Linked DNA regions of Coturnix japonica. The protein of the gene in region 3 interacts with the protein of the main gene of each other region in a pairwise test. Links are inferred from orthologs where the notes say so. Each region holds a gene or a part of one and is shown on either strand. Other genes may lie near its edges.

Region 1 (5,783 bases), on a different chromosome or scaffold from region 3:
AATCTACATGTTATTGGTTTTATTAATAAAATGAACAAACACACACAAAGATGAAAACCTGGATTGTCTGAGACTTGAGGATTTGGCATTTTTCAACCCTTGTTGATTTCAGGGAGAATTAAATTGGTTTCCTTATGAAGTTTAATGGTGTCATTTTGGTGCTCTCCCTCCGCTGGTGCTGCTCACATCTTCTCCTCAATCTCCTTAACCTGAGAGGACACGACTTTGCCGTCAACCACCTCTTCAACAATTGTCTTGATCTTCTTAATTTTACTTGATTCTGGTAATGAAATTGAACAGTAAATTAATAAAAATGCAGTGTGCATTGACAGAATGTTAAAGTGTGTGCACTTCGTTTAGGAGCCCAATCTCTGTGCAGTCAGTGGAGAGAAGCAGACACCTCTGAAAGCCCTTGGAAAGGAATTCCATGGCTTTGCCATCCATCTGGCCCTTTGAGAAGCCTGTGGTTTTACCTCTGGCACCTGGGTTACTTACATAAAGCAGGGCTTGTATAATCCCTGGAGGTTACCTGTTCATACAGTTGATTGTTTTCTTGTTTTAAGATTTCACCAGTTGATTATTTGCTCTGAAACTGCACTTTTTGAAATCAGCCCGCTTAATTCCATAACATTTAAACAGGAAGCCATCAAAAGCACATGCCTGTGCAACATACCTTTTTCAAGTTCATTTGTAAGTATATCCTCTTGGACAACCCTGTTCGGATTTTAAACAGAAAAATGTAAGTATATTATGCCTGACATAGTGAAGAAACAACCTGGCATGTTTTCTGCACCTTTAATATAAACAGGTATATTTCCTTTCATCAAGACTTTAGTTCAGCCCTTGTCACGTGTTTAGATGAGTTTTCAGTACTAAAGTGAATTTTGTTAAGCGTCAGCTATAGGTGAAATTCACCTGCAGGCTAATTTCTGCAGTGTTACAACTTCAGCTCAGGAGGATTTGCCCGGCCTGGTTCCTGAGCCAGAACTGACCTTTGAACCATAGGACCTTTGAGGGAAGCAGCGCTGTCTGCTTGTGCTGCTCTGCACTCTTTCACAGACCTCTGTGCACTGCAGAGCAAGGGATGCTGGACTTTCCAGACAGTAAATGTCAGCTCATTTGCACCTCCTACGTATATAAGTGGCTCAGCTACTGGTGGCAGAAGTGCAGCAGGATGGAATCCTGCACGGGCTCCCAGACTTGCCATAGACTGCAGGAGGTCAGTGTGCGCTCACTGAGTGCCTTGCTCTGATGTGGTCAGGTGCTCATGCTACCAAAAGCAGTTTAAAATGATGTGCCCTGAGTTTCTGTCATTACAGTTATGGAAAAGTTTATCTAAAACTGCATCACTTTTGTTCATGGAGTGTGGGCGGCTGTCAAGATACTCAATTCAAGAAGAGTAACAGTGTGTACCCGTGCAGAGGGTGGCATAGACTGGTCTGAACACTGCAGCAGCCTCTGAAGGAGCACAGACTTGGAGCCTACAGCTGAGAGCCGGGCAGCAGGCAGACTTTTTTCCTTCAAAAACCAGTTGCCAATAGGCAGATTTTACCACCGTTTCTGTCTGAGAATTTAGAGCTCATTTGCACTGCTGTCAGTGGTGCAAAGCTGCCGGAGCCCCTTTCCTCACCTGATGTCCTCCCCTTCCAGCAGACGTCGGTACGTGGCGATCTCCATCTCCAGGCGAGTCTTGATGTCCAGCAGGATGCTGTACTCCGTGTTCTGCCCCTCCATGTCAGCCCGCAGCTGCCTGAGCTGAGCCTCTAACCTGGCAATTGTTTCCTGGATTTGAGCCAACTGAAAACTGTAACGTGCTTCAGTTTCAGCCAGAGAATCTTCCAGAGTCTTCTTCTACAGTTGGTGAAAAAGAACAGAGATTTATTGTTCAAGAGGATACATCTTGGCCTTAAAATTACATTTTGAAATATGTCCCAGTTTTTGTTGTTATCTCTATAAACACAGCCCTTATTTCAAGAACTGTTCATCACTCACCATGTTCAGATGGGTCTGTAATTCCAGCTCCAGGCTCTGGGAGATCTGTCTCCGATCTGTGACCTCTCTCCTTTGTTCTTGCAGCTGCTCTACATTGATTGCTACTTCCTGGTTCAGTGCTTCTGTCTGAAATATGGAAATGGAAGGACTGTGAGCTGTGACCAGACATGACAGAGGCTCTCGCTGGTGTTGAAGCAATTGACCTTACTTGCTTTTCAAATCGTTCTTTGGCTTCTTGGCGGTTCTTTTCTGCCATTTCTTCATACTGCCGTCTCATGTTTTCCATAATACTTGCAAGATCAACACCTGGAGCAGCATCCACCTCTACGTTAACCGAGCCACCCACTTGTTTGCGCAGCCTTTCAACCTCCTACAACATTGAGCACTGCGTTAGCATCAGCTAAAGTGAACTTCCAGGCCCAAATATTGGGCAGAAGCTCAGAAATACAGAAACAGAGCAACTCTTAATTCTTAAATTTAAATTTAGCTCTTAATTTAACTCTTAAATTTAATTTGTAAATGCCTCTGACAAAAAAGAAATGATGACACTGTTCTGCTGCTCTCACCTCTTCATGGTTCTTCTTAAGGAAAATGATTTCTTCATTCACGCTTTCAATCTGTGCCTCCAGATCTGACTTGGTTAAGGTCAGGTCGTCAAGGACTCGCATGAGCCCATTGATGTCACTCTCAACACTTTGCCTGAGCAAGAGCTCATTTTCATACCTGTAAAACAAGGCTTCTTTCGCCACCATAGAAGTGCAGCAGTTTGACAGAAACATCAAATCAATAACTTCTACAGCCCGAGGCCTAAAGTATTTGTTTTTACTGAGCTCTGTGGTTTACTTCTCAGCTTTGATACTAATAACTAGATGTTATCCTGAATAACTGAAGCATGAAGGAGTGCAGGCAGTGCGTGGAACTTACTTCAGTCTGAAATCATCAGCAGCCAGCTTGGCGTTGTCAATCTGCAGGACAAGCCTTGCATTTTCCAACTGTGCAGCACTGATCTAAAAAGGAAAGGTTGGAAAGGGATGAAGCAGAGGTAATGCAGCTCGCAAAGGACACTGAGTGAGTCTTAAACATTAGAAAGTCTGTCACTAATTTGTGTCTGGCCAGAATGAAGCATTTCCTGTTCCCAGGTGAGACAGATCCTATTTGATCTACTTTTCCACAGTAGATTGTTACCTTCCCCAAAGCTGCAGTTTATGCTTTTATAGATGGCTGTAGGAGATCTTACCTTGTTTTGGAGTTCCTCGATTGTTTGGAAGTATGAGCTGTAGTCACTCCTTATGCCCACTGTATTCTTCTCGTGCCACTCCTTGATCTGCTTTTCAAGCAGGGAGTTTGATTTCTCCAGAGAGCGCACCCTCTCCAGATAGGCAGCCAAGCGGTCATTAAGGTTCTGCATGGTTGATTTCTCATTGCCAGCGAGCAGCAGGTCGTTATCAGAGATGTTGGAGAAGGCACCGCTGGAGCTCTGTCTGCGGACGGTGCTGCTGGAGATGCGGGTGCCGTAGCCGCCAGCCCCACCATAGACACTGGGCGCCTGGATCCGCTGCACGGCCGCGCTCCTGACGGACAGAGCGCTGCTACCAGGAGCTGTGCCCTGCAAACGGGCGGCTGTACCCAGCTGGAAGCTCTGTGTGGAGAAGGACATCGTGCCTCCTGCAAAGGTGAAGCGGCTGACTGTACGACAGCGAGTTGGAGTGAAGTGCTGTGTGCTCTGTAAACCTTATATTGTCTTTGGAAGAGGAAGCACGGTGGTTGTAAACCCCACCTCTCTTGACGCATACTGTAATTGGTGTCAGCACAAATAACATGCAGGACATTGTCCCCACACTCTGTAATGCAAAGGGTTTTTAATCTCTCCATCTGCGTTTGAAAAAAAACTGCTCAGGAAATTTAGCTTTATTCATTTTTATTTTGAATGAAAGATAAAACACAAACGAGCTGCTGAATCATTTATTGCAGCCTAGCCAGCCTATCTCTATAGAGCCATTGTCGAACAAACCCTGTGCGGGTTATGAAATTAAAATGAGTTGACCGTATGTGACAAGAGACCTTAAATATTTATATCTCAATCCAGTGTACATTGCTGTTGTGTGAGCCATCGTCTGGGCCTGAGGATGGTGTAGGAAGGTCTTGAAATGGTCAGGAAGGTGGCATTTGTATCTACCGCCTTCATTCATTCTACAGTAAGCACAGAACAGTAATCTTAGTGTTGTCAAAATGACTGGTGTAGTTTGCTTGCATTGAATGTACACTGTTCAGTGATAGAAAGCCCTTAGAAGTTGAACTGGGCTGCAGTGTGGTTGAGATAAGGCAGAAAATGTAGTAGGCAAAGCTGTAAGGATATGAGAACCACCTGGATGGCTCCCTTTATTTTACATGTGAGATGCTGGTCCATAGTGCTGAGACCAAGCTTCCAGCACAGCTCCAAGCCCTCCTGCCCTGGCAGCGTGCTCAGCACGTTGTGCCCTCTGGCTGCTCTGCCTTTGACAGGAAATCAGCTGCCTCTGATCAGCACACAAAGAAACCCAGCAGCTGTGTTTTGTAGTTCCTCCAGCTGCAATGTATGTACTGCTGAGATGTGACAGGCAGAGATACAATGGAAATCGAGTGAAAGAGCTCAGAGCTGGGGGAGTTCCTGGTGCTGCATGAAAGCAGGCAGCAGGTGTGCAGCAGGACAAAGCAGGTGGAGTTCCTTGGGGCACTGCATTTAGTGTACTTCAGTGTATTAATAATGTACGGCTATTCAGGTTGAACAATTAACATGTATTGTTTATATTAGTGGAAAAGAGCTGCTGTACATACTGGTCTTTTAACCTGGGACAAGGCAATGGGTGACGTGCTGTTCTCTGGGCACTATGCTGGATCTTGGCAGCATCCTCAGGTTTCTGAGAGCTGAGTGTGGGATTCGGTGGGACCAGTTCAGCTCAGATTGGATACAGAACTACCAATAGTTTGCTGAGTGCAGCTGTAACAAGGCAGAGTTCAGCTGCTCTGGAAATGTGCATCTTCCAAAGCAAAACGAGCAGCATTCAGAGCAGGGCTCCTTGCCATGAGGATGCAAAGTGTACATTCAGGTGTCTGAACTGTGGTTGGACCTCGAGCTTTGGGTGTGACTCAGAAGCATAAATGTGCATTTATGGCAGGTCCGGTCAAAGTCCAGCAGCCAGGTCAAATGTCCCGTTGCTATAGACACAGGGTGGGTCTGTTCTATCTGCACTCAATAGGGATCATTTCCAGCTGTAGGGCAGAGCTCACATCTTTAAAACCACGAGAAGAACGCAGCAAAAGTCCTGCTACAGTTACATCTGCTGTCTGTGCATTGCTCTGCCTGCATCTCTCACAGGACTCTCCAATGGTTTGTTTTCAGTAGACATTCTGCTTTGTCTTCTTCCAAGTTATTAAAATAGTTTCCCCTCAGGTACAGTTGACACCTCAGGTGAGGTTTTATCGCTCCATACATTTTTTTGTCGTGGAATACAATGAATTTTGATGTCTGCAGCTGTGATCGGTGTGAGTGCAGTGCTGCTAGTGCTGCAGGGGTGCTTCAGTTTAGTTGTGCAGCTCCCACTCGAGATGCGGCTGTGAGCAAATCCATGGAGCACAGACAGTGCGATGTCAGCCTGCAGGTTTGTGTGTAGTCACAACTGTACATAGCAACGCCTGGAAGCTGATTTCCTGAAGGACTGTCACCTTTGTGACGGACACTGAGAGCACAGCAGAGATAACCATCCAGGGGTCTGATAACGTGTGCGTGCCGTTTCGTATTAGTCACCAACCAG
Region 2 (5,855 bases), about 19 Mb from region 3:
ATTTTGGACAATATTAATTGTTCTTTAAAACATCCATTATAAAAGTTGAGGCTTGAAATTAAATATTATGACAACACATTGTTACAAAAGTGACGTGGAAAGATCAGAGTTGGCCCCTTTGATGTGTATATGGAAACCCAGAGGGAGCAGCACCCACATCCCCAAAGCCCTATAGATCTGCTACGGGTACAGACAGCAGAGCTTGCAGGCAGTCCCAGTGATGGTAAAACATCCACATCATGGGGGCAAGGAGAAACTGCCAGGTCTGGAGTCAGGAAAAACAAGTTCAGAAGTAACTTTATTATTATTATTATTGTAATTTTTCTGTCCTCCTCAGCAGCACTTCCTCAGAGTTCTTAATATGAATAGCTTGTTCCTGCAGGACTCAAGATAATTGGCAGTGCCCTAATTTTTTTCTTCCCTTGTCTTATTATTGTGGATTTAATTATTTATTGAGGAACTCAGGTTCATTAAGCACCACTGGGAAATACCCTGAGGCTCTGGTTGTGGTGTCACCTAGAGAAGGAGCTCTGCAGGCACTTCTGTACAAGTATTTGGAGCTGGGGGAACTCAGACTCAGCACCACAAGTCCTGCCTCATTCTTCATTTCTAGGAAGTGGGCCAGTAATATGGTGCCCCACCGCAGCCAGGTAAAAAGCGAAGCAAATGTTTAGGAGCTGATTCATCCTATGCAATACCAAGGTGACCGTAACAACATTGCAGGATGGTAAGAAGTGACAAAATAGCCATTTACTTGCCTGGGCAGCTGCTGCGATAACTGCACCACACGCAGTCTTCTCTGTGGAGAAGAACAGAGCTGAAGTTAATACAAATGAGAACTCATTGTCTTCTATAGAACTCATTACATTTTTCTATTTCAGCCAGTCGACATTAGTGTTTATTGCATTTCTTTACAGATCACAAAATCACAGAATGACGCGGGTTGGAAGGGACCTCAAGGATCATGTAGTTCCAACCCCCCTGCCTGACAGGGCCACCAAATATACACATTTACTAGATCAGGTTGCCCAGGAGACCCCATAGACCCCATAGAGACCCCATAGACCCCATAGACCCCATAGACCCCATAGAGACCCCATAGACCCCATAGAGACCCCATAGATCAGGTTGCCCAGGGCCCCATCCAAACTGGTCTTGAACACCTCCAAGGACGGGGCATCCACAACCTCCCTGGGCAGCCTGTTCCAGGGCCTAACCACCAATTGATTCGTCCTGTCTTTTTAAGGCAATCAAACAAATTAATGACGTTTTGACTCCGCTTGATTCACTACGTGAAATCATCAGTTTCGACTGAATTCGTAAATTTAAGGTCGAAGGAAAAACACTCCGTTTTGTCATCAAAATCCTCCAAAGTGGGAGAGCGGTGCCACCTGCAGACTGCTCCAACACAGCCACCAGCACAACGGGAGCTCCGTCCCACACCGCAGCCCGTGAGTCATTAAGCTGCTATAGAGGCAGCCACAGAGCCAGCAAAGCTAGAGGGCATTTGATAATTAGCCCGATGTGGTTAGAAATAAACGCAAACTGCCTTCATTTGTCAAGAAACGTCCGTGTGTGCTTCAAGTTAGACTCCATTTCTCATATACAATCCAGAAGTCCTTGAAAGTATTCACAGAATCACAGAATGAGCCGGGTTGGAAGGGACCTCAGGGATCATGTAGTTCCAACCCCCCTGCCTGGCAGGGCCACCAAACATACACCTTTACTAGATCAGGTTGCCCAGGAGACCCCATAGATCCCATAGAGACCCCATAGACCCCATAGATCCCATAGAGACTCCATAGACCCCATAGATCCCCATAGAGACCCCATAGATCAGGTTGTGCCCATGGCCCCGTCCAACCTGGCCTTGAACACCTCCAAGGACGGGGCATCCACAACCTCCCTGTGCAGCCTGTTCCAGTTCCTAACCACTCTCCTAGTGAAGAACTTCCCCCTAACATCCAACCTAAATCTTCCCTCTTTTAACTTAAAACCATCTCCCCGTGTCCTGCTATTGTCAGCCCTTTCGACAACCCAGTTACAGGGGGATGAGAAGTGAACATCACACACACCCCTCTCTCCTCCCGTCCCGCCTCAACATGGCTCCTCCCAGCCGTGACGAAGGGCCGTGGCCGAGGCGCCGAGGTGCGGGGCCCGCCCAAACCCCGCGAGGTCCCCGGGCTGCCCCGGCCGGTGCCTGATTCTCCCCGCCGCATTCGGCTTTGGGGCCCGGTGTGAGGGGCCGGAGCGGGGCCGGGCGGCCGCCGTGGAGATGCCGCTGTTCGCGTCCAACCCCTTCGAGCAGGACGTGGGTGAGTGAGCGGGGAGCGGTGCGGAGCTCGGCGGGACGCGGCTGGGCTCGGTGCAGCGTTGGGCCTGTGAGGGGTGAGCGGCGGCGATGCCCGGCCGTATCTCGGGTCGGCGGGTCGGGCTGGGATTGTGGAGGCCAAGATCGGCCTTGGTGGTGCCGGCGGCGGGATAGCGCCCACCGGGTGTAAGAATGGACACAGCCCCACTTCGGCCCGAGCCGCCGCTCCGTTCCATTGCAAAACCGGGGGCTGGTGCGGCCGTGACTCAGCCGGGCTGGTCCGGGTCGGGTCGTGATCCAGCGCTGCCCTCGGGGACATCCAGCTTGTGCCGTGTCTTGTTGTTGGCTTTTTGTTCTTTAAAGGCCCGCTGCTGAGCTGCAACACAGCAAAAGCAATTAAAATTTCCCCCGTCCTTGGAGGTGTTCAAGACCAGGTTGGACGGGGCCCTGGGCAACATGATCTAGTAAAGGTGGCCCTGCCAGGCAGGGGGGTTGGAACTACATGATCCTTGAGGTCCCTTCAAACCCGGGTCATTCTGTGATTTCCCAGGGCTTTAGGTACGAGAAGAGTTTTGTCATTGCCGAATCGTGGAACCAGAGGAGTTGGAAGGGATCTTGGAGCTCCTCCAGCCCAGTCCCCTGAGAGCTGGTTCCCCAGAGCTCATTGCAGGTTCCCTAGAGCAGGATTCTGGCCACTGGCAGGAAGAAGTGGTGGCTGTCAGTGCTCACGTTAACACCCCAGTTCCTTGTGGTGAGTGTAAGTCCTGCTCCTCTGCTCTGTGCTGGTGAGGTTTCACCTGGAGTGCTGCGTCCAGATGTGGAGCTCTCGGTACAGGAGGGACATGGAGCTGCTGGAGAGTGTCCAGAGGAGGGCTACAAAAACAGTCCACAGGATGGAATGGAACACTTCTCCTATGAGGACAGGATCAGAGAGCTGGGGCTGTGCAGCCTGGAGAAGACAAGGCTCCGAGGTGACCTGATAATAGTGGCCTCTCAGTGTCTACAGGGGAGCTACAGGAAGGAAGGGGATGGACTCTTTAGCAGGGTCTGTGGTGACAGAACAAGGGGAAATGGCACTGAGCTTGAAAAGGGTAGATTTAGGTTAGATAAAAGCCTTTTACAGTGAGGTTAGTGAGGTACTGGAACAGTGGTGTGGTTGATGCCCCATCCCTGGAGACTGTCAAGGTAAGGCTCAATCAGACCCTGGGCAATCTGACTTAGCTTGGTGCCCCTGTTGGTTGCGAGGGAGCTGGACTAGATGGCCCTCAGAGGTCCCTTCCAACTCTGAGGTTTCACTGTTATCTTCGTGTGCCTTCAAAGTTTGTTTATTGAAGGCTTTGCCTTCAGTTCTCTTTGATGTTGACCTGTGGCTAAAATGAAGTAGCAGCCGCTTAGGCCAGCTGTACTTGTTTCAAAGAACTTGTGTGTGTTCTGTACCTTTCTCATAGCTCTGATGTATTTGCACAAGTGAAGACTTCTTGAACTGGGGACTCACGGCTGTACAAAATCCTTTGTCAAAACTGAAAAGCTGCAACAGCTCTAAAAGCATAGGGCTGCAAAGTGATGGTCAGTGTGCCTCTAGTTTCTTAAACTCTGTATTATACATAGCGAGTAGAACTGCTCACACATGCTGCTATGAAACAAGAGCAGTGGGCTGGGAATTTCATAGTTATTGAGGCTAAATCTCGCAGTGCCTTGCTAGGAAGAATCTACTTTTGTGCCACTAGGAGCTTTTTTTTCTTTCAGCTATTATTACTTAGTAAATCAGACAACACGGAGCAGCAAATAACTGAACACTGTTGTTCTGTACTTTCCCTGGTGGTACTCACCTCAGGCTGCTCATGCTGCTGTCGAGCTTTAACTTTGTGATTCGAGGTTTTATTTTCTCATTCATCTTTTTGATTTATAAATAATAAAGGTGCGTACCACGAGGGCAGTCGAGCTCTGCTGATGTCCTGATGCTACTGGGAAGGAGAGCTCTTCCATCTTCTTGTCCACTCAGGTGCTGTGGGTTGCTCTCTGGGCTGATTCAGTGCATTCTCTTCAGCAGAAAACAGATTGCAGTGGAGTGCTTGGCTGACAGTTGGGATCATCTGTGAAGGCGATGGAGTTTGGAGGCTCGGATCAGCTCATCAGAGGCTGCAAAGTGGCAGTGAGGGGCAGGGCTCCCTGGGAAGGTTGAAGCCCTACTTCTGCTGGCAGCAAGAAATTGGGTTGGTTTGGATATCTGTTCAGGCCATGCCTTCGGTATTGCAGCTTTCTTGGGAGGGGGCCTTTAGAAATTATAGATAAACACAGCTGCAGCTGTTGTTTTCTTAGTTCTGAACTTGTGTTTGCTTTGCAGTAGATCTGCATAGGGTCTTACTTCCTCAGCATTTGCTTTGGTTGCATTGTCTATAGTTGCAGTTCCATGAGATGAACCTATGGGATAGTTTCAGGAGTTCCATTTCTCTCACCTGTGGGTTTTTTAAAGATTCTTATTATTTCGGTAGAGAGAAGTGGTGTTTTTTTTTTTAAATTCTTATTATTTTGGTAGAGAGAGTGCCACGAGACTTGAGTTCTTTAAAGGGTTTGGAACATTTTAATTTCCTATCTAAATCTATTCATCATTAGTTCACACACACTCGCTGTTTTCCCCCATTGTCAGCCTTCTTAAATAACCTTCATCTTCTAAAAGTAGTTGCTCCTCCAGCAGAGGACAAGCCTCCTGCTTTTCATCCTTTGTTTAGTCAGCGTTATTGGTGAGGTTGTTAACACAATCAGGGAGGTTGGAAGTATTTGTGTAGTTTGACTGGCATCCAGAATTACATGCCGTGTCACAGGTTGTTGGGAACTCCTATGATCGCATTTTGTGTTTCCTTGTTCATTGCTGGAGCATTTACCGGCTGTGTTGTTATATTCTAGTGTTATATTTGCCTTCTTGTTTCTGCTTCATGTGCTGTTCTTCATTGTCTTGTACTTGCACTTGGCATGCTCGTGCTTCTCCTCTTGTTTCCAACCACTGACATCTTGTTCCTAGGAGGATCTTTGATACACAGGCTGTGTGGGTTTGCATTTTGTCCTGCTGCTGTCTTGGTCTGTCTAACCCACTCCTCAGTAGCCTTCTCCTTATGTGACGCTTTAGTTTTCCCTGTTGCTGATAATACCTTCCAACTCCATTAGCTTCCTTTGCAGACCCTTACTCCTGCTGTCAGTGCCTGCCAAAACACGTTCATTTCATGACTAATTCTTGAGGCGTTGGGCTCCCTACCCTCTTCATAGTGCTTTACATCACTATGTGTCTTCCTTATAATGTGGAGCGATCCAAGAACTGTAGCTGATAACTCACACATGGTTTCCTGTGAAATATTTCACTGAGTGCAGGACAGACCGGTTGATGCTTAAATTAACCCTTGGCAAGGAGTCCTGCCTGGAGGAATAGCTGCCTTCTGTTGAAATTCACTGTGGTTCCATTGCATTTCTCAGCAATAATTCACGTCCTTCATGTTTGCTCTAAGGTCTCGCAAATGTTTGTGGACAAGCTAATTGCTGTGGGGTTTTCACT
Region 3 (5,256 bases):
TCACTTAATTCTGTGGTTACCTTGATTTTTAATATTACAATGTAGTGATAGCACTTCTGTGCAAGCTCTCTAGGACTAGGTGAAAAAGCTTCTGCTGTAGTCAAAATGAAGAGGACTTCTTGGAAAAGTTAGATTTCTATAGCTTTATATCATTGTTTCTTTTTTCTTGTTTCCTGTTACAACTCTGAAATAGCAAATTGCTTTCTGAGGCATTTGTGTTTCAGCATGCAGAGCAGCACATTCATTTCTTGGGTTACTTTGGTTTCTTACAGCAGCAGTGGGAGTAGTGGAGGAAGCCACCCAAGTAGTCGGAGCAGTAGTCGCGAGAACAGTGGAAGTGGCAGTGTCGGTGTTCCTATTGCTGTTCCCACGCCATCTCCTCCCAGTGTCTATCCAGGTAAATGGAAACTTGCTGTTCCTCTTCCTGTTTCAGCATTACCTTTAAAATTTGCAGACTTGAGGAGGAAGTCCCATGAGGAACCTCAGAATTCATTTTCCAGAAGCATGCAGTCATTGAAAATTGCTTGCTATTGGTAGCGTTAATTTGAATAGAGTAATATTTTTTTTGAGAGTGTCTGAGGTACTGCAGAGTTCATTTTATGCGTTACTTGATTTACAAATGTTTTTTGCCTGGCTGCCTGCATGAAACCAGATAGAACACAGTATCTTTTTTGGTGGGCAGGGAGAAATTTATCCCTTTTAAGCAAATTGATGCATTTTCATTGACTGTTCATGCAGATCTATAGCAGCTTGCTTTTAGACAGTTGGATTAAAAGAGAGGCAGGCAGAGAGTAAATCCTTAAATACACAGTGCAAGCCTAGCTGAGTTGTCATAAAAAAGTGCTCGTTTACTGTAACTACACCTGTCTTCCCAGAAATAGGAAGTGATGTTAGTGCTCCTTGTTCAGCACTTTCGGTGAAAAAGAGCATATAGTTTTGGCTTGCAGTGTGATCTGAAATACATGATGTTTTTGAACCAAAGGAGCACTTTTGTCTTTCTTCTTCTGTATATTTGTACAAAAACTCAATGCAGCTATGCTACAGATTACAGCCTAAATAACAAAGATTAAAGACATCTTTCAAAAGTAATGGCTCTCACTGGAAGGTTCTAGGTTGTTACCTTCAGACCTGGAAAGAAGCAGCAGGTTTGCTTGACCCTCATGAAACTGTCTACGTAAGAATGAGTCTTTCTTTAGTAGCTTCATTTTTCCCTCATCTCCTTGTGCATTCTAAAATACTATGCATCTAGTAAGTAGCTAACACTGAATAGTCAAAGGCTTTCAATAATCCTTGCTAACATATCTCCCTATTAACGCCACCTCTTCCTCCTCTCTTCACCTAGCCCCCGCTGGCTCATCTGGCACTTCTCCCCTTCCTTCTACCTCTGCTCCTGCCCCCACCCCTCCTGCTCCAGCCCCTTCCTCCTCTACCCCAGATGCTGCTGCTGCTGCAGGAGCCCAGCCCCTTGCTGATGGCTTCACCTCTCCAACTCCCCCTGCTGTTTCTTCCACGGCCTCTACAGGTGAGTGTCTGCTCCCTTGTGTGGGCAGATGGGCCCAGATGTGATCACGGTCTGAGGCTTTACAGAGCAAATTTTCAAGGAGTTGCTTCAATTGGTAACTCCTGAAAAACAGGTCTTTGAGTATGATTTCATTTATCCCATCCATTCAAGTGGTTTATAACGTTCTCTTCTCCCCAGATGATTCTCTGTATATTTCAGGAGCAGCAACAAGATATTTAGCATTGTGTTTTTCTGTGAATAAGAGCAAACAGTTTGTACATGTTGTGTTGCTTGACAGCTGGAGTGCAAAGTGATATTTTTTGCAGGTTTATAAATGAGAACTTCTTATAAATTCAGTTATTATAATAAGTTTCATAAAATGGATAAATGAAAGTGATTTTCTTTCACTTTATGGCATATGTACCTTTGCATTTTCTTTTTTGTATGTGTGATTAGTGATGATTACAGGCAGTTGGAGGAGTTTGGTTTTTTTTGTATTGCTGTTGAGACACGCAGTGCTCTGACAGTCCGGTAGCTGAGCTGACTGCTTATAGGATGTGGATTGTCTGTAAAAGAACAGAGATGTTTCCTAGCCTTTGAATTCTGAGTGGAGCTAAAAAAAAATAACAGGCATAATCCTTCCCTTGGTAACACATTTCTTTTTCTAACCCAGGCCACCCAGTTCAGTTCTACAGCATGAACAGGCCTGCGTCTCGACATACGCCACCAACAATAGGAGGATCCCTGCCATATCGGCGTCCTCCTTCAATCACGTCACAGACGAGCCTTCAGAACCAGATAAATGGAGGACCTTTTTATAACCAGAACCCAGGTAAGAAAGGTTATCTGCTGTGATGAATGCAACGCAGGGTTGAATTGACTGACTTTCAGATCTCTGAAATCCTACATTTTGTCTCCAGCTCTTGCAGCCAGTCTGAGGTAACTTCCTGTACGTTGCTGGTAGCCGTGCTGAAGTGGAGGTGTGAGCACAGAGCATGCAGCTGTCATTATGGCACACAGCTCAGGACAATTTGGCTCTTGTTGTCAGATAGATTACTTTTGATCTCCCAGGATTTGCAGGATCTGTTGGACACCCTTCAGTCCTTTACTACACTATGTGTATAATGTAGCTGCTTTGGTGTGGAATAAGTATTTGGTTTTGCAGCAAAACACTGATTCTTCATTAATCAGTCTGTGTGCTTGTGTGCTTTTTCCTTGTGATTAACCACCAGTTCAGTAAATTGTTCTTCCTATATAGCGGTAAGTGTTAGAGATTTTAGACATCAGTGGTGTTTGGTACAGAGTGCAGGGGAGCTATGTCCCTTGTGAAGTTCCATATGTGATGTTATTCTAATGGATGACCTGTGCTCAAAAGCAGGTTGAGATTTTAACAAGCAGTGTTGTCGTGTATGTTGGGGAATTCAGCAGCTGTTCATCTCTGCTGTCCTCCCTGAGCTTCTGAGGAGAAGTGAAAGTATTGATGTGACACTAAGGGACGACTTTTCTTACAAAGCTACAATGCTTTGTAAGAAAATGCAAGGGATGCAAGGGACACAGTGAAAGTTCCTTGTCAGCAAAGTCAAGTCTGAAAGTTGATTTGAAACACTGTAGTGCTACTGTGTGGGTACTTTTGTTGATCATCTGTTTGGCTTTGTTGTTTTACATGAAGCATTGAATTAGGAATTAGGTTAATTGCTGCAGTTTGAGTTTAAGGGATCTGGTCAGGTCCAAATATTACTGCTTGTGAGTCAGACTGTGAAGAGATGCACGTGATTAACTTGAGAAAGAAGCAGGTGGTTCTGCTGGGGACAGAGAGGGTACAGGAGTTTGTATGAGTGAATTGCAGCTCTGTTGCGTGAAATACATGGTATTTGTTAGGCACGTTATACGCATGTTGAATTTTGAAGGGGAATAAATAGGAAGGAAGGGAAAACAGCTATAAAGGAAACATTTCAACATTGCTTTTTGCAGTATAGAGAATTTTCACTGCATCCAGACACATATGCAATTTTAGACAGCATATATAATGCCATTGCAGGTAATAATAAAGTTACCAAATAGACTTTATTTAAATTGTGTAAATGAAGGTCAGTCTGAGGACTCAAAAGGAAGGTAATGATTATGGTTAAGATAAAACAAAGAATGATGTCAGCTAGTGTTAACATCACCATTTTGATTAAACTCTGTGATCCAAGCACAACAAAGGGGTTTTTGTTGTGTTTGCCTAGAGTGCTTGTCTAGAGTGATTTGTCTTTCTACCTGGAAGGCCTTGTTATCTCCTTCAAGGACTTACATGCAGTACACAACATGCACAGAAGGGACCCGGGAGACCAAAGGTAGTCTCATATGGTACACAGGAAGCGTATGATTTCAAGTGATTTTGAATAAGGGAAACATTTTGAAACTAAGTATTTTTATAGTATATGTAATTAAAAAGGTGGTGACTTCATAGCTGGACAGGAACACTGCATTCCTGAATGCTGTTGCATTTCAATAGTGCTTCAAATTCAAGTTCCCTTTTCCTCTTTGGGAAATGCAAGACCAGGTCTTTTCCCAGAAGTTGTGGTTACTCCTGAAGAAATGTATTCTCTCCAAGGTCACCTCACTCAAATCAAAGAAGCTGTAATTAGAAATGTATATTAAGGTTTCCCAAGAAATACCAGTTAAGTGGTGAGGTAATGGAGCCTGCTTTATATGGAGGTATGTGGATACTCTTAACAAAGCAATGGTTACTCCATTTTGGTTTCTGTGTTTATTTTGTTTTGTTTGTGATGTGTGGTAGAAAAAAGAAGGTGAATGTGATTGGCAGAAGAAATTCAAAGTGCTTGTGAAAATAATTGCTAAAATGAGCAAACACTGTATTTTGAGATGTGAATTTAAAGTAACTTGGGCTTTTTTTTTTCCCCCATTTGCTGTGATGAGGGGTATTAATTCTGAAAAATGCTCAGTCACGCACTGTAGCTCTGGGATTAGACTGAAATTTAATTAGCTCACATCAGTAAGGTAAATAAACGTACTGGTACATGAAGTGTAGATTTATTTTTCTCCCCGCTATTCTCTTGGACATGATTAAATGTCTGCGTATGCCACGCTACCAAGAAATGACATGGTTGTGCTTTTCCTGAGGTGTGCTTTCTGGAAAATATTCCAAGAACTTTCTTGAAAAAAAGAATTGTCTTGCATTATCCTTACATGGTGAGACTCCAGTTTTGTTAACTAGAATTAACTAGTTTTTTGTACTTAGAGAATAAGCTCACTTATCTAATCAAGTGGATTTGCACATCTTGCACAAAAACAGCTTTTTCCGTTAGCAGCAAGCCTGCTGCTCAGAGTTCAGTGGTTTGCAGAATAAGGCAGAAAGGTAAAGCAGCACATTGGACTAGACTCTGCTGCTCTGCAACAGCAAAGTGTGCTTTGTTCTACCAGTGAGGCTCCTGGCTGTCCAGTCCAAGGTATCTTTCTGTTTCACTTAAGATTGCCTCATTTAATTAATTTTCTGTTTTATTTTTTTGCCCGTGTTTTGGAGAAAATTAGCTACATCTATTTTCAGGAATAAGGGTTTGTGGATGTTTTAACAGAAAAGACATTCAATTTATAAATACTAGATTGATGGAAGATTGTGGGGGGAGAAACTTCTTGATATATTTGTTAGATGGGCCTGTTTGTGAAGTCTGGTTCTGCTGTAAAGAACTTGAGGGAATCTTTTAGTGAGATTGAGCTTCTGCTTCAGCAGAATCTTGATCTTAGGAAAAGAG
Region 4 (5,917 bases), on a different chromosome or scaffold from region 3:
TCCCCCACATGTGCTTCAACAGGCTCAGCCACTGATGGCACCACAGTGCTTCTTAATCACTCACAGCTCAAGCACAGAAGGAGCACATCAGGCCAATACTACAGGACCTATTTTACAAGGTTTCGCTCTTCTTGGAGCTCATCAGCTGTAGGTAACGGCCCAGACAAATGGCACTGCCTTATTCTATGGATGCCCCATCCCTGCAGGCATTCAAGGCCAGGCTGGATGTGGCTCTGGGCAGCCTGGTGTGCTGGTTGGCAACCCTGCACACAGCAGGGGGTTGGAACCAGATGGTCACTGTAGTCCTTTTCAACCCAGGCCATTCTACGTGATTCTATCAGTGGGAGGAGCCCATGGATCCAACTCCAGCTAAAGCCACAGTCCTTGCTCTTGCCCCAACCACAGCCACCATCCCAAATCGCACCATCTGTTCTTCCCCAAGCACCACCACAGGCATCTCCTGCCATGTTATAAATCATAGCCTGAAATGCTGTCATCCTGGTTCCGTATCTGCAACTTCAGCTGTTGCCTCACTGCTTCCTAATTACTTTAATTTAGGGACTAAATAAATCAGCTTCTGAGCTATCAAAGGGACGTGCTGCTTTTTTCCTCTTGTTTTGGGGTTGTTTTTCAAATACTCCATTTGGTTTTATGTTGTAATTCCACTCGTGAGACATCCTCCAAAAAAAGCTCTGATACCCTGAAGATCTGATAACCACTATCAGGCACTGCTTATGACATGAATGCATGTAAACGATTAAAAGTACTCCACCAAAAGTACTCCATTAAAAGAAATCCATTAAAAGTTGGGTACAGGTTGCCCAAGGAGGCTGTGGATGCCCCATCCCTGCAGGCATTCAAGGCCAGGCTGGATGTGGCTCTGGGCAGCCTGGGCTGCTGGTTGGTGACCCTGCACATAACAGGGGGGCTGAAATCAGATGATCATTGTGGTCCTTTTCAACCCAGGCCATTCTGTAATTAATTCTATGATTCTTTACTTCACTACACCTCTTACCAGGAAAAAGGAAGAGCTCTAGTAGTTATTTCATGGGCATACATTTAACAGGTTTAATGTCCCTTCCAACCCAAACCATTCAATGGAAACCCAAGGACAGAAAAAGAAGAGCCACTCACACTAACAGACCACCAACGCCTTCTTTCAAAGCATATTTTACACAATTCTGATCATTCTTCTAGTTCAACTACAATTTCAGACTCAGTTCCCAACCCTAAATGGAATTAATTAAAGCATAAGTAATGGTGCACAGAAGTATTAAGAATGCTTTGATATGTTACCTCAATATCTACACCAACCTGACAACAGAGCATCCATGAGGAACCGCATACACCTCCCGGTTCTACGGATCCCAAACAAAGCTCCAATGTTTGCTTAAGAACTTCACAAGCCATAATGAATGGCAGTTTAAAAGAGCATCATCAAGAAACTCCAGATCAAGACCAAGCCTGTATTGAATTACATTGCAAAGTCACAAGTTAGCGTTTTTTTGGTGTTGCTTTTACATTTTGGGGGCTTTCCCTTGTGTTTGTTAATTTTCTTTTAAACACAGTGGATCAGGAGCTGCTTCTAAAGAAGGTTTTGTAAAAAGCACACAGATATGATACAGCACCTTTCCTTCCCTGCAGGCATTCAAGGCCAGGCTGGATGTGGCTCTGGGCAGCCTGGTCTGATGGTTGGTGACCCTGCACACAGCAGGGGGAACTGGATGATCACTGTGGTCCTTTTCAACCCAGGCCATTCTATGATTCATTCCATGACTGCAAGAGAGCCACGAAGCTAAGCTTAGGCACAAGTTATCAGCAGGAGCCTATCTAAACACTAAACCAAATGTGCACCTTACAATCATGATTTCTCCACTTTGGCACTGAGAGAAAAACCCGAAACATAACTCAACATAAATGTTACAAATTTAAGTCCTTATCACCAAATCTCACCACCCCAAAAGCACAAAGTTAAAGAGCAGCAGTGATAAGGCTAAGAAAAGCAGGCTGCTTTCTATACCACTCACAACTGTTATTTATGCTGGTACTGACAAATAATGTGACGAACGAGAGGGCTAAGCTGGAACTGCCCTACAGCAATTAATTCTTTCCATCTTCTCCAGTTGCTTGTCAGCAACAACACCCTTTTACCCAAACTCTCCACTAATCTAAAATATCCTTTGGAAACACAGAAAGCAACAGCCTCAAACAGACAATTCTGGGTTACCTCTATTCCTTCGAGTGCACTTTGTAATATCAGCTGGCAGTACAGGATCACACACACTTACCAATGAAAGGCAGGAGGACAAATAAAAACCAACCCAAGTAATTCTTCAGGCCAACGTTTCTCACATTTCCCAACGTGGAAATGAGAATTTTAACTTCTTTTTTTTTTTTTTTGCCTGGAAAGCCACAGCAGCCAACAGCAGAACAAGGAAGCTGACGCACTGCACACTCAGTTTCAGGAACGTGAATAAGAAAACTGAAAGTACAAAGCGTTTTTAAAGAGCAGCACTGCACAGCTGATGACCAAACTCAAGGCAGTGGCTCGAGTGTTATCAGAGCGTTCTCAAGCAGCACACAAACCATTGGCAAAGGGCTCCCCAGCCTATCTAGGGCTTAACAATCACTTATGAATAAGAGGAGCGCTGCACAGAATCACAGAATTGTAGGGGTTGGAAGGGACCTCTAGAGATCATCGAGTCCAACCCCCCTGCCAAAGCAGCTCCCTACACCATGTCACACAGGTAGGCGTCCAGGCGAGTCTTAAATATCTCCAGAGAAGGAGACTCCACCACCTCCCTGTGCAGCCTGTTCCAGTGCTCCGTCACCCTCACTGTATAAAGGAACTTCCTATGTTGTACTTTCATCCCATTACCCCTAGTCCTATCCCCACGCACTACTGAAAAGAGACCAGCCTCACCACTATGACATATACATATATAGCACTATGGCTCTCCAGGTCCATCAGGTTGCCTAGAGAGGTGCTGGATATCCCTGCACACAGCCAAGGTCAGGCTGGATGGGCTGTGAGCACTGATGGAGCTGTGTGTCCCTGCTCAGTGGGACAGGTGGTCTTTAAGGTTCCCTTCCAACCCTAAGGATGCTCTGTTGACCATGAACCCACAGACACAGCCTGTTTAGCTCCGTGCACATCAGCCCAGCCACAGTTACCTGGATGCCACATTACCTGGATGGCACACGGAGCCTCTCAGGGCAGCAGCCACCTCAACTCCTTCTGCCAACATCGAAGGACGACCTGAAAAACAACCAACCACACGAGAAAAGAAAAAAAAAGAAAGAGCCACTATGACAAACAGCCGGTTATCGGCCCCGTTCAGCTCAAGCTAAGACCCAACTTCATGCTGCACCCTTAGCGGGAGGCTCCACGTCGGTACACGGACGGGCTGCCCATGTCACGGCCTGGAGGGCCCAGCACTCCCAGCACCGAGCTTGGGACGGGTCTCCTTCCTCAGCCCCACGCCGCCCTCCCCGTTTCTCGGCTCTCGGAGCCCGCCGCTATTAGCGCAGCCCAATACATAGACAATCCGACCGGTCCCATTGATGCCCGCAGCCCCCACACACCATAACCGTGTTGGCCGCCCCGCCCCGCTCCGCCCGGGCCGCATCCACCGCCGCTCCGCCTCACCGTCCCCACTCCAACGGTCCCCGGCCGCCTCACGGCGCGCAGCCAATCGCAAAGCGTCTCCGCGGGGGCGCGCACCCTCCGGCCAATCCCACCCCGCCCTCTGCCTCCGAGAGCCAATGGCTGAGCGAGCCCTCGTGCCTCGCCCCGCCTCCTCACCTCCACAGCCAATCGGCGAGCGGACGCTTCTCCGGCGGCGGACGTGCGTGAGCTCGCCCCGCCCCTCCTCGGGAGCGCTCGTGCTCTCCAGCCAATCAACAGCCGGCGGGGCTTCGCGCGCTCCCGTCTCCTGCGCAGGCGCAGTGGGCGGTCAGCGCCTCTCCTCAGGGCGATGAGGGGACGTCGAGATGGCGGTAGTGAAGCTTCAACCCCCTCCACATCTAATACCAGCCCAGGCTGCTCAGGGCCACATCCAACCTGGCCATGAACACCCTCAAGGATGGACGGAGCATCCACAGCCTCATTGAGCAGCTGTTCCAGCACCTCATCGCTCTCACAGTAAATAACTTCCCCCTGACATCCAACCTCAACCTCCCCTCTTTGAGTTCTCTCTCAGTAACACTTTAATTCAGCCCACTGTTATGTTTTCCTTTTACCCAACTGGGATGCTGTGTAAAACAATTCTACCTCTTCTCATCCAGCGCTGCTGCCTGCCCTGTGCCCCCACTGCATTGGAGCCATCCGCATCTGAATGGAATTACAAGAGCAAAACACCTCCTGGGACTCAGCTTCAGCACAGCTGCCATTTAAAGAGCTGTGGTTTGGCCCAGCTTCAGGGGGAGGTCAGCAAAGGGTCTCGGTAAGTGTGAAGGGAGACGGCAAACCCAAATTTAGCAGCAGGGAAGAAGAAATAAAAGCAGAAAAATAAAGCCTTGGGGTTGGTTAGGTGTTGTAGGGAGAAGTGGAGGACTTGGAATAACTCAGTGTATTTTTCAATTAATCTGAAGTAAAAGGAGATATTTTCCAACAGGCTGTGTATGGGTTTTCATGTGCCTGTGTTCTTTTTCTTTCTTTTCCCATAGTGATGCAAGAATACTAAAAGAACCACAAAGAAACCACAGAGACCCAAGGAAAGGGAGCAGCCCGAGCTCCCCAGCTGTGAGGTCTCACCAGCACTGAGGCAGCAAAGTCATTCCAAGGACAAACCTCTCCTCAGTGATGAATGGTGCAAAATATGGCGCAGATTGGAGCCGCTGGCTGTCGGAAAGGTGAAGTGCAGGAGGACAGCACCACCTCAGGTCTGGTCTTACAACAGGAGAGATTTGTGCAGAATTGGCTGCTCCAAGGGGAGCTCTTGATGGCACATTGAAGAGCCAGAGCATGAAGCTTACACAACCATCGCTTGTCTGAGCTCACTGCGTTGTGACAGCGGGTGAGCCGGACCCTCCTTCATACGGCATCTCCAAATGTGACGTGGTTCATGGAGTGATTAGAAATGTCAGACTGGAAGGAATCTCTCAGATCACCAAAAACATCTCCTTCGTATGACTGACTGCTTTTCACACAGAATTGTAGGGGTTGGAAGGGACCTCCAGAGATCATCGAGTCCAACCCCCCTGCCAAAGCAAGTTCCCTACACCAGGTTGCACAGGTAGGTGTCCAGGCAGGTCTTGAATATCTCCAGAGAAGGAGATATTTCCACCTCTGGTATTTTGCCATTTTCATCCCTTCTGGCATAGCATGTTTTTGCTCTATCCTTCGCCATTACAACAACTGCTCTTCCGCAGTTACACATTCACGCCCTTGAGCTCTCACAACCTCAAGTGCCCGGTGTTCACAAGTCGGAAGGCTCTGAGTCTAAACTCACTTGGCTGTAATGAGATCAGCCCAAAAGAAGCATGAGCAAAAGGTTAGGTTGAGAGTGGCCTCACCAAGACACCGGAGTAACACATTTGCTGTCCCATTTTGCTTGACGTTGTAACTGAAGAACTTTAAATTCTGAAGGTAGGTGTTTTTCAGACGAGCAGCTGAGTACCAAAGAAGATCCCTGCAGCCTTTAATCTATATGTGTAGATAGAGGTACCTCCGGCTGTGTGTCCAGAGCTGCTCTTCCATCTCATGCATACCCCCACTTAACAGCAACTGAGATAAAGCAGAAGCTGAGATCAGGAACGAGGAACAGCCTCCTTTTTGTTCCTTTCTGGTGTGACAAGATAATTGCTTTGCTTGAGCCATGGGTGTGCTTCTTCTCTATATTTAGACATTGATTCTGCAGCGTTTCTTTCACTCACAAGTTTTGGGTTGGTTGCAATTTGGCAGAGAACAAAACAA

What was found. The genes of interacting proteins can lie anywhere in the genome.
Region 1: the proteins of ABI2 (region 3) and keratin, type I cytoskeletal 20-like interact in binary tests that used the Homo sapiens proteins (3 or more experiments, as listed by UniProt). The link is inferred for Coturnix japonica from reciprocal best matches to the Homo sapiens genes ABI2 and KRT20.
Region 2: the proteins of ABI2 (region 3) and STAM2 interact in binary tests that used the Homo sapiens proteins (3 or more experiments, as listed by UniProt). The link is inferred for Coturnix japonica from reciprocal best matches to the Homo sapiens genes ABI2 and STAM2.
Region 4: the proteins of ABI2 (region 3) and DTNB interact in binary tests that used the Homo sapiens proteins (3 or more experiments, as listed by UniProt). The link is inferred for Coturnix japonica from reciprocal best matches to the Homo sapiens genes ABI2 and DTNB.

What each region holds. Positions count from the first base shown.
Region 1 is NC_029542.1:4,172,969-4,178,751, forward strand, and holds the start of keratin, type I cytoskeletal 20-like, read right to left. Parts: upstream 3,709-5,783; 5' UTR 3,650-3,708; coding exon 3,230-3,649; intron 3,000-3,229; coding exon 2,917-2,999; intron 2,716-2,916; coding exon 2,559-2,715; intron 2,363-2,558; coding exon 2,201-2,362; intron 2,119-2,200; coding exon 1,993-2,118; intron 1,852-1,992; coding exon 1,631-1,851; intron 715-1,630; coding exon 674-714; intron 281-673; coding exon 183-280; 3' UTR 1-182. UniProt on the Homo sapiens protein: Plays a significant role in maintaining keratin filament organization in intestinal epithelia. When phosphorylated, plays a role in the secretion of mucin in the small intestine.
Region 2 is NC_029522.1:30,548,764-30,554,618, forward strand, and holds the start of STAM2 (signal transducing adapter molecule 2), read left to right. Parts: upstream 1-2,147; 5' UTR 2,148-2,275; coding exon 2,276-2,315; intron 2,316-5,855.
Region 3 is NC_029522.1:11,946,992-11,952,247, reverse strand, and holds part of ABI2 (abl interactor 2), read left to right. Parts: intron 1-272; coding exon 273-397; intron 398-1,342; coding exon 1,343-1,522; intron 1,523-2,174; coding exon 2,175-2,333; intron 2,334-5,256. UniProt on the Homo sapiens protein: Regulator of actin cytoskeleton dynamics underlying cell motility and adhesion. Functions as a component of the WAVE complex, which activates actin nucleating machinery Arp2/3 to drive lamellipodia formation.
Region 4 is NC_029518.1:95,641,841-95,647,757, forward strand, and holds the start of DTNB (dystrobrevin beta), read right to left. Parts: upstream 3,709-5,917; 5' UTR 3,650-3,708; exon of another isoform or gene 3,586-3,649; intron 3,260-3,585; 5' UTR 3,191-3,259; intron 1,648-3,190; exon of another isoform or gene 1,629-1,647; intron 1-1,628.